Linked DNA regions of Caenorhabditis elegans. The protein of the gene in region 1 interacts with the protein of each later gene in a pairwise test. Each region holds a gene or a part of one and is shown on either strand. Other genes may lie near its edges.

Region 1 (4,591 bases):
TTTCCAATGAAGTTTTTTTTTTGAAAAAAAAATGATGGAAAATTTGATGATCTGTGAAAATCATTTTGAGAGAAGAAAATTTGTAGAAATGTTTTCAAAAAATCGGTTTTTTTCCAGAATTCTTGCAAAAAAAAATTTAGAAAAAACTTTGAGAAAAAATCTAAAAATTATTTTGAGGAAATGACAGGGGATTAGCATGCCGCTCCATCATTTTCTTCTCCAAAATAATCCTAAAATTAGTCCAAACCGCAAAAAACCAGATTTTTTGTCATTCTAAAAAATTGCGGGAGGCGTGGTGTCCTTTTCCATAAGCCTATACCCCCCAAACATCAAATTTCCGGTCGGAAGAGTCAGCCGACATTTCCCCAAATATATATGTGAATGAAAAAAAAAGTAGGGAGAATTGAATAATTCATGAGGCTGATTGAGAAACAATGGGGTGGGCACAGATAGATTTTCTGTTAATATTGAGAATCCAAACACAGGCAAAAAGCATAATGCGTTCGGGGGGAATCGAACCCCCGTCGAATGCTTGGAAGGCATCCATGCTGACCATTACACCACGAACGCGGTGATTCACGTTGGTTTCGGAGGCAAAGAGAAAATTGGGTAACATGGCAACTATATGATGAGAACATGTTGTTTGCCAAATCGCATGGATTAGGGGAGAAGCTTGAAAGCCGGTGATAAAAAGAGATATTGATATCACTTTTTTTCAACACAGGGAAAAATTATCAAAACATACGTTGGGCGTCTCTTTCTTCTAAAAATACTATAAATTACAAGTTAATCAAACTTTTAAGTCTAAAAAAAATGAAAACTTGAAAAACACATCAAAAATCAGTGTGTCTGATTGGACAAATTTGAGCCCCCATAGTCTTCCTGAATGCTCCCGCGGTGAGCCAACTCTGTCTGCGTCTCTCCGATCACCGTACTGTTTCATTGAAAGGGCACACGGGGGATATTGGTGGTGTGCTCATGAAAAAGAGCAAGGAAGAGACAGAGGGATATCCTGTGTGTGTGTGTGTATAGATATGATAACTGACTGGAGGTGGGAGATGAGTTTGAAGCACAAGTGTTGCGAGAGACAATCCCTGGATCGGTAGATCAAACCACGATTGTTCGGGTTCAAATTAGCCCCGCGCGAGTTAAAATTTAATTATTGAATTTAAAAATATTTGAAAATGCTTTTCAAATGAACTGTTTACTCAAAATCATGGTCTTGACACGATCGAAAGTTTTCAGCTACCGAATTATCTCTGCGTCTGTTGAACCTTCTTTCATAAACCCAATTTAGACCACCCGCACTCGCCGCGTTCGGGGTGTAATGGTCAGCATGGATGCCTTCCAAGCATTCGACGGGGGTTCGATTCCCCCCGAACGCAGATTTATTTTTTTTTCGTCTTTTTTAATTCAAAAAACCCATCAAAGTCCCTCGAAGACTGCATCGAACCCCCCAGAATCCTATCATCATCATAAATTCTGTGTCATCTCCCTTCTTCCATCCAATTTCTTCATGTTATCATGCGAAAAGTGGTTGTGACGAATGGCTAATGATCATCTGACACGCAATGGCTCCCCGCCACCCCGACTCGTTTCAAACTTACACCCAAAGTCTTCATATTTGGAATTTTTGAAAAATATATATTATATACGTTACTTTTTTGCGGAGAGTAGAATATGGTGAGTATTTTAAGGAAATAGATTTTTGTTTACTAAATTAAAATCACGTGGTGCCAGGCTGTCCCACTACGGTTTGATCTACAAAAAATGCGGGAATTTTTTTCTAAAAATATGTGACGTCAACACGTTCTTAACTATGCGAAATCAGTTGAAAACTCTGCGTCTCTTCTCCCGCATTTTTGTAGATCTGTGTAGATCAAACCGAAATGAGACACTCTAACTCCACGTGTAAAATTAATTTTTTTTAAATTTCAGTTCGGCTGGATTCACGAAAGCTTCAGGCAACTTGTCACAAGGAAATATGGAAAAGATATTTGGGAGAAGATCGTGTAGGTTTTCAAAATTTACTCTTAAAAGTCCGAAATACCTGCTTTCCTACCTGCCTGCCTTCAAGGCGGCCTACGCCTACCTCATGCCTGTCTACCGCCAAAGTGTCAACTGAACTTTTAATATATTAATCTAAACAAGAAAATGTTACGATGAGAATTGCGTCAAAGACCAAACTTTGGAGTCTGCATAAAGTAGGCGTGAGGTAGGTACGTAGGCACATATGAAAGCAGTTGTGAAGGATGCCTATTCGTCTACCATAGGAGTTTTGGAAATAACAAAGTTAGAAAAAATTTTTAAAATTATAGCATATTTGAAAGTAATTCTAGATGCTGAAAAAATGGCGAGGTTTCTAAAAACCTTTATAACTTTTTAGGTAACAACTTTATCGAAAAAATGTCAACTAACAAAACATAGCCCGTAAAATTTTGAACATTTTTTTAGTTAAAATTTTTTTAATATCTGCAAAACCAACAAAGTTACATGTGCGAAAAGAACAGCAAGGAGAGACGCAGAGAAGTCAGAGCGCCTCGTTTCTCTGCGCCCTCCCCGCATCACACACTCTCTCTCCTCTCCCTCACTCTCTTACTTCAAAACATCCATTATCCAGGCACATGTCAAAATTCGAGTTGGGAACTGAAAGTGAAATTGCTCATTATTATAATGACGATGAAACTCTGCGTCTTGTCAATTCAATGGCAAATGTGATTGGAATTCCAATTGAGGAAATTTGGGAGGCTTATGGAGGTTTTTTGATTCAATTTACAATGGAAACCGGATGGGATGAACTGCTCAGAGCAATGGCTCCGGATTTGGAGGTGAGAAGTGAACTCGAATTTTTTCAGCGCTTTTTTCACCATTTTTGAAACTCGTTTTAAAAAATTTTTGAGATTCAAGCTACCACCAAAGGGTCTTAAGTTGGTAATTTTCCTGGGTCTCGCAGGGAAAATGTGCAAATTTTTTATCACACATTATTTCTGAACACTTCTTGAAGACCCGTCTCATAACGTTTTGCTACGTGGCCTAGAAAAATAAAAAATTCGGTCATTGATTTGTCTTTGGTTTTTCAGATCTTTCTGGTTTTTCAGATCAATGCGTATCCATGTCTTGAGGGTGGCCGAGTTTTTTTTTATTTCACGGCAACGTAAGAAAAAACTCCCATGGCAGAGGAAAAACTCGGGCAGAAGTTTTTGGAACTTTTCCAAACTTCTGTAGAGAGCCTAATTTCCTATTTTTCTCGGCCACAGAGTTCTCCCTCAAAAACTTATTTATTACATGAATACATCAAAAATTTAAAGTATTTCCTTATCGCCCATAGATAAGTTATTCATTTTATCAAAATCGCCTGATCTTCGTAAATGTGATCTCTTTTTCACTAGTCTAGAAAAAGAAATGTGACTCAGTTTTCCAATCCCCAATTCAAACCTGTATATCTCTTCCAATTTTTTTACTACTAAAAATTTGTCAACTAACAAAATACTTTATGAATTCAGGGCTTCTTGGATTCCCTTGACTCACTTCACTATTTCATTGATCACGTCGTGTACAAGACAAAACTCCGTGGTCCATCATTTCGATGTGATGTTCAGGCAGATGGAACTCTTCTTCTTCATTATTACTCGAAGCGCAGTGGTTTATATCCTATTGTTAAAGGTACAGATGCATTTTTAATTGTACAGTGGTATATTTTGCGGGGGCGTTGAAATGTAGAGGAGACGCAGAGAAACGAGAGTACTCTCGTCGTCTGCGATCTCTCTCTCCTCCTCTCTAAAAACGGCTATAACTCTTTCAGTTTAGTTGATATCAAAATTATGTCAACTAACAAAATGCTCATCGTTTTATGCTCGACATTTTATCAGTTGACAACTTTTTGATAACTCAGACCACAGTATAGATAAACCCCTTCAACTTCCAGGCGTTGTAAGAGAAGTGGCTCGTCGTATCTATGACACAGAAGTTGTCATGAAAGTTCAAGAACGAAAACAGGAACATTTGGATGCATTTGTGACGGAACACGTGGTCTTTGTAATTACCCAAATTGAAAATGCTAACAGTACTCAGCCAAAATCGATTTCTTCAAAAGCTGACTCACAAATTGATTTATCAACGGTAAGGTTTGACATCTCATATCTCGGTTGCCGGTGGTCTGGGTCAAAAATTATTAACTAACAAAATGTGTGGCATTTATTTTACTATAATTTTGCTGTTTAACACTTTTAATATCTTAAACGGTAGCCGAGATACGAGCTGCTAAACCGAGCAAGTTCTAATTTTCTAGGGAATCTACGAGATCTCATCGTCCGACTTTTCCTTGGCATTCCCTTATCACATTTGTTTCGATCCTGACCTTTTCGTCGAGCATTTTGGAAACTTTATCAAGGTACCAATAACTAGGCTTCTAAAATTTTCAAAATTGTTCAGAAAACGTTTCCAAATGCGATGCGCCAAGAGACACGAGTCACTGATCTTCTAGAGTTGGTGCATCCGGAAGTTCCGTTCTCTTATGAATCTATCAAATATTATAAGAATTCACTTTTTGTGTTCAGATTGAAGGTAGGTGTCGATTTAAGCAGCTGGTGTA
Region 2 (3,962 bases), on another chromosome or scaffold:
CTCTTGAAGATCGTATGTTGAATCCCGTGCAGATTTCATTTTGTAATTATTTCCCAACAAGAAATAACTAAAAGATTGTATATTGAATTCCAATAAGATTGACTGTGTATGACCAAAGTTTTAAACACGAATCAAGATCTCAGAGAATAATTAACAGTATTTTTATAGAATTTTTAACTTGCTACAAAAATTTGATTTCGATGCAATTGTTGCCCTTTGTATTTTGAAAGTATACTATTTTTGAAGAGAGAGGTAGAAAAATCTAAAGATAACATTGAAAAGTATTTTGTTAAGCAAACAACTTTCAATGTTTGAATGCTTGTTTTGTCACTTGGAGCTTGTATTTTGTAAATGTTTTCTGTAGTTTTGATTGAAAGCTTTTCCCATCTTCACAGACGATGTATTGCACAGTCTTATTTTCGGTAAAACTCAAAAACCCGAGGCAGAAACTTCAGGAGTTAAAAAATTAGACTTAAATATGTATAGAAGAAACATAGAACCTTTCGATTTGCTCGAACTCGAACTTCAAATTCTTTTTTTTTAACCTAGAAAATGTTAGAAAATGTTCGATGTAAACTGAATATGCACTGCACTTGTAACTGCATTTGTTGTGTGTGTGAATCACTTGGAAGTTCATGTAAATAACAGTATATAACTTCAAGGGTTATAAAAGGCACACCTTACATCAAAAATAATTTTCTTTTTTCCTGCTGTTGTGATTTTGCAATAAAATGCCCACATTTTCCAAACAAAAATGTTCTCAAAGTCTTAAACCCTGTTCATCAGCCACCTCGTGAATATACTTAACAATTCAAGTGACTCCATGACTCCGCCTACATTCGTTCCCTCATCTAGCTCACCGTTTTAACATTCAGACTTTTCTCATTTCCCTCCGATCGTCTTAAAATCCTTCTTCCTTTTTCTCTCCATTTCCGTCATTTTCGTCTTCTTTTTCCTTTTTTTTTCACAATTTTCCTTCTTCTTCTTCTTCTTCTTCTTCTTCAACTCAATAGAGCCTTTCCCTGTGTCTCTTTTTCTCCTTTCTGCCATCTTCACTTCTTTCGCATATTTCTCTATTTCTCTCATCCCAACGACGCGCTCTTTTCGGTTAATTTGGAGCTTTCTCCGTCCACCGCAGTCGGGGTTGAGCTGGGAGCAACGAGAAGGCCGTGAAAACATTGTGCCAGAGACTGCGCTTCCTCTAAAATTTCGTAAAAACTTTTTCACGCCTTTTCTATCACATCATCTCACCTCGTCTTGCCTCTTGAAATTGAATATGTTTTGGTCGACTTTTTAAATTTATTTATTTGCTTTCTTTCATACACACCAAAATTGTTTGGAAATTTTAATTACATGCAAAAATTTGCACATATTTTTTTGTTCTGTTTGTTTCAATTCCTACTTTCAATTTGTAGGTTATCTAAACGATACAAAATTTTCAGAATTACAAATAAGTTCAAATAATATTTTTTTAAAAATACATTTTCTGTTTAAACACTACAATCGACTATTTATGTAGATTTTCTGAAGAAAATTTTCTATTGCAATTTCTGCGTTATAAGTGCCCGACTTACTAGTCATAGCTTTATCTAGGGAATTATTGAAATAATATGATATTTCTCTAAATTATCACCTAATCCCATCCTGCTCAAACCACAGAACCGTCGAATTACGAAAAGAAATATATAAGCAGTAATATATAATTGTATGAATACGAGTTACTTCTCTTATTCTCTTCCCTTTTTCATAAAATGTAAGTGCCACTTATAACACGACTTCCTTTATGAATTCAATGATCTCCACGTGTTCTTTTTTTCATAATGACCACTCTTCGGGAACACTCATTTTTTATGCTCTTTTTCCGGCAATCGTCACTTTTCGTCAATATTGACTTTTCCTTGTTCCTAAGATGACCGGTTCCTCTTTCTTGTGCCTCGGTCTGTCGTCATTTCCTCAAAACATCACTTTCTTCAGAGAGTAGAGCTCCAGTCATGGCCACTACCGCTACTCGTCATCAAGATTCTAAATTGAGCGAAAAGGCAGAGAGCATTCTGGCTGGCTTCAAGCTCAACTGGATGAACTTGCGTGATGCAGAAACTGGAAAAGTTCTCTGGCAGAGCACAGAAGACATGGCTGACCCAAAAAGGGAACACAAAGGTAATAAGAATTTCAAAAAAAGTCTCGGAATAAACCAATCATCACAAACACTATGCCTGGGGCGGTAAGTAATATCGTCACTGACAACACGAGGGAACGAACGCGAGAGCGTCTCCCCCCAATGCGCGCGCACATCCACTGCGCCATTCTGCCACAGCTAGCAAGCAACACTGAGCGTGTAGTTAAGCCTTCACATGTCTTTTACCGCTGGTCTCTAATGCAATGCGTTTTTCCTACAAAAATAGAATTGCTTGAAGCCAACAAATAAAAACTAATGGATTGCAGCACACGTGCCAAAGAATCTTCTAAAATGTCGTACGGTGTCTCGTGAGATCAACTTCACTTCATCAGTCAAAATCGAAAAATTTCGACTCGAGCAACGCGTTTATTTGAAGGGAACCATCATTGAAGGTAAGATAGAATCACTCGAATATTCATTATGTTATTGCACGCAATGGATGAATAATATTGGCTTCTGGTGATGAAAACTAATTATGTATTCCGACTTCAGAGTGGTATTTCGATTTTGGATTTGTCATTCCTGATTCAACAAACACGTGGCAAAATATGATTGAGGCAGCTCCAGAATCACAAATGTTCCCACCATCTGTACTCAGGTAAGTAAAACAAGTGCAAAAGTACTAGATTTCTAAGCTTCAAAGCTTCACTTCAAGATACTAGAAACAGAAACATGCAAACCTTAATAGTTATTAGGTAAACATGACCGAGTATCGTAATCAAACATTTTTTATATCAGTCAGCGTTTTGGTAAATTGGCAAAAATTCAAAAATTGGGTTTTTGAGTAATTTCAAACATTGCTGTAGGATTTTACCAATACAGTGTTTTTTATAAAAATTAAAACAGACTTTCAATATTTGTACTGGTGAAAACTGAGTAATTACCGATAGTTTTTTTTTTGAGTTTTGAAACGTTTTAGTATTCTTTATGGTATGTAATTTTCGTACCACAGGAGATGCTGCACACCATCTTATATATAACTACTTAATCCTACTATAAAAATAACATTAAATTGTGTTCGAGGCCTTGACATTTCGAACGATTGAAAATACAATCTCAATTTTTCAGCGGAAACGTCGTCGTCGAGACTTTATTCTATGATGGAGATCTTCTTGTAAGCACGTCTCGAGTCCGTCTTTATTACGACTAATACATATACATTCATATCCATTTTTCCCTTCTAATCCTTCCCTGTTTCTCCATGGATCTCTCTTTTTTAATTCCTAAAACAATACATACCTAATTTTAATATTCAATTTCAGAATGAAAATCTTCAACGGATTTATTTATTCATCTATGTACATATGAATATATTTTACAAATTGAATAGCTCAGGAAAATTGTCCCAAAAATACATTTAGATTGCAGTGTTCACAAATGAAGCATTGACACGTGATAGCTTCTGGCGACTCATGTCGTTCGACTGAAAAATAGGAAGAACTGAAAATAATTGAAAAATGAAAGGACATGCATCAATCTTACCACAATTGTGTTTGTCCCGTTACGACGGAAACGGAGAAGTTCGTGGCACCGGCGACGGAATTCGAGACGGAAAAAGTAAAAGATGGGAAGGTTGAAACAAGATTGGAAACCATAGAGAAGATAGGCAACACCTGGAAACATTAACTATTTGAAAAAAATAATTTAAAGTTAATTCTTAATTAATTCTTAAGTTAATTAAGAATTAACTAGCTTTTCTTTCTAGTTTATATGTTATTATCTCATTATTCAAAGTGATATTGAAATGTTATTTCAGACTTCAATTTTAGTGTTTGACAGTTCATTT

The links. Proteins that work in one complex are often made in the same cells at the same time.
Region 2: the proteins of gcy-35 (region 1) and pdl-1 interact in a two-hybrid assay, tested with the Caenorhabditis elegans proteins (one study listed by BioGRID).

What each region holds. Positions count from the first base shown.
Region 1 is NC_003279.8:13,323,682-13,328,272, forward strand, and holds the start of gcy-35 (Soluble guanylate cyclase gcy-35), read left to right. Parts: upstream 1-1,548; 5' UTR 1,549-1,680; coding exon 1,681-1,683; intron 1,684-1,938; coding exon 1,939-2,012; intron 2,013-2,620; coding exon 2,621-2,828; intron 2,829-3,503; coding exon 3,504-3,663; intron 3,664-3,810; exon of another isoform or gene 3,811-3,886; intron 3,887-3,925; coding exon 3,926-4,119; intron 4,120-4,288; coding exon 4,289-4,390; intron 4,391-4,431; coding exon 4,432-4,563; intron 4,564-4,591. UniProt on the Caenorhabditis elegans protein: Plays a central role in social feeding behavior and oxygen sensation by synthesizing 3',5'-cyclic guanosine monophosphate (cGMP) from GTP.
Region 2 is NC_003280.10:7,181,834-7,185,795, forward strand, and holds pdl-1 (Phosphodiesterase delta-like protein), read left to right. Parts: upstream 1-1,967; 5' UTR 1,968-1,991; coding exon 1,992-2,157; intron 2,158-2,176; exon of another isoform or gene 2,177-2,245; intron 2,246-2,442; coding exon 2,443-2,568; intron 2,569-2,585; exon of another isoform or gene 2,586-2,659; intron 2,660-2,668; coding exon 2,669-2,774; intron 2,775-3,244; coding exon 3,245-3,326; 3' UTR 3,327-3,461; downstream 3,462-3,962. Other genes in the region: C27H5.6 (G_PROTEIN_RECEP_F1_2 domain-containing protein), read right to left, coding at 3,534-3,599, 3,659-3,789.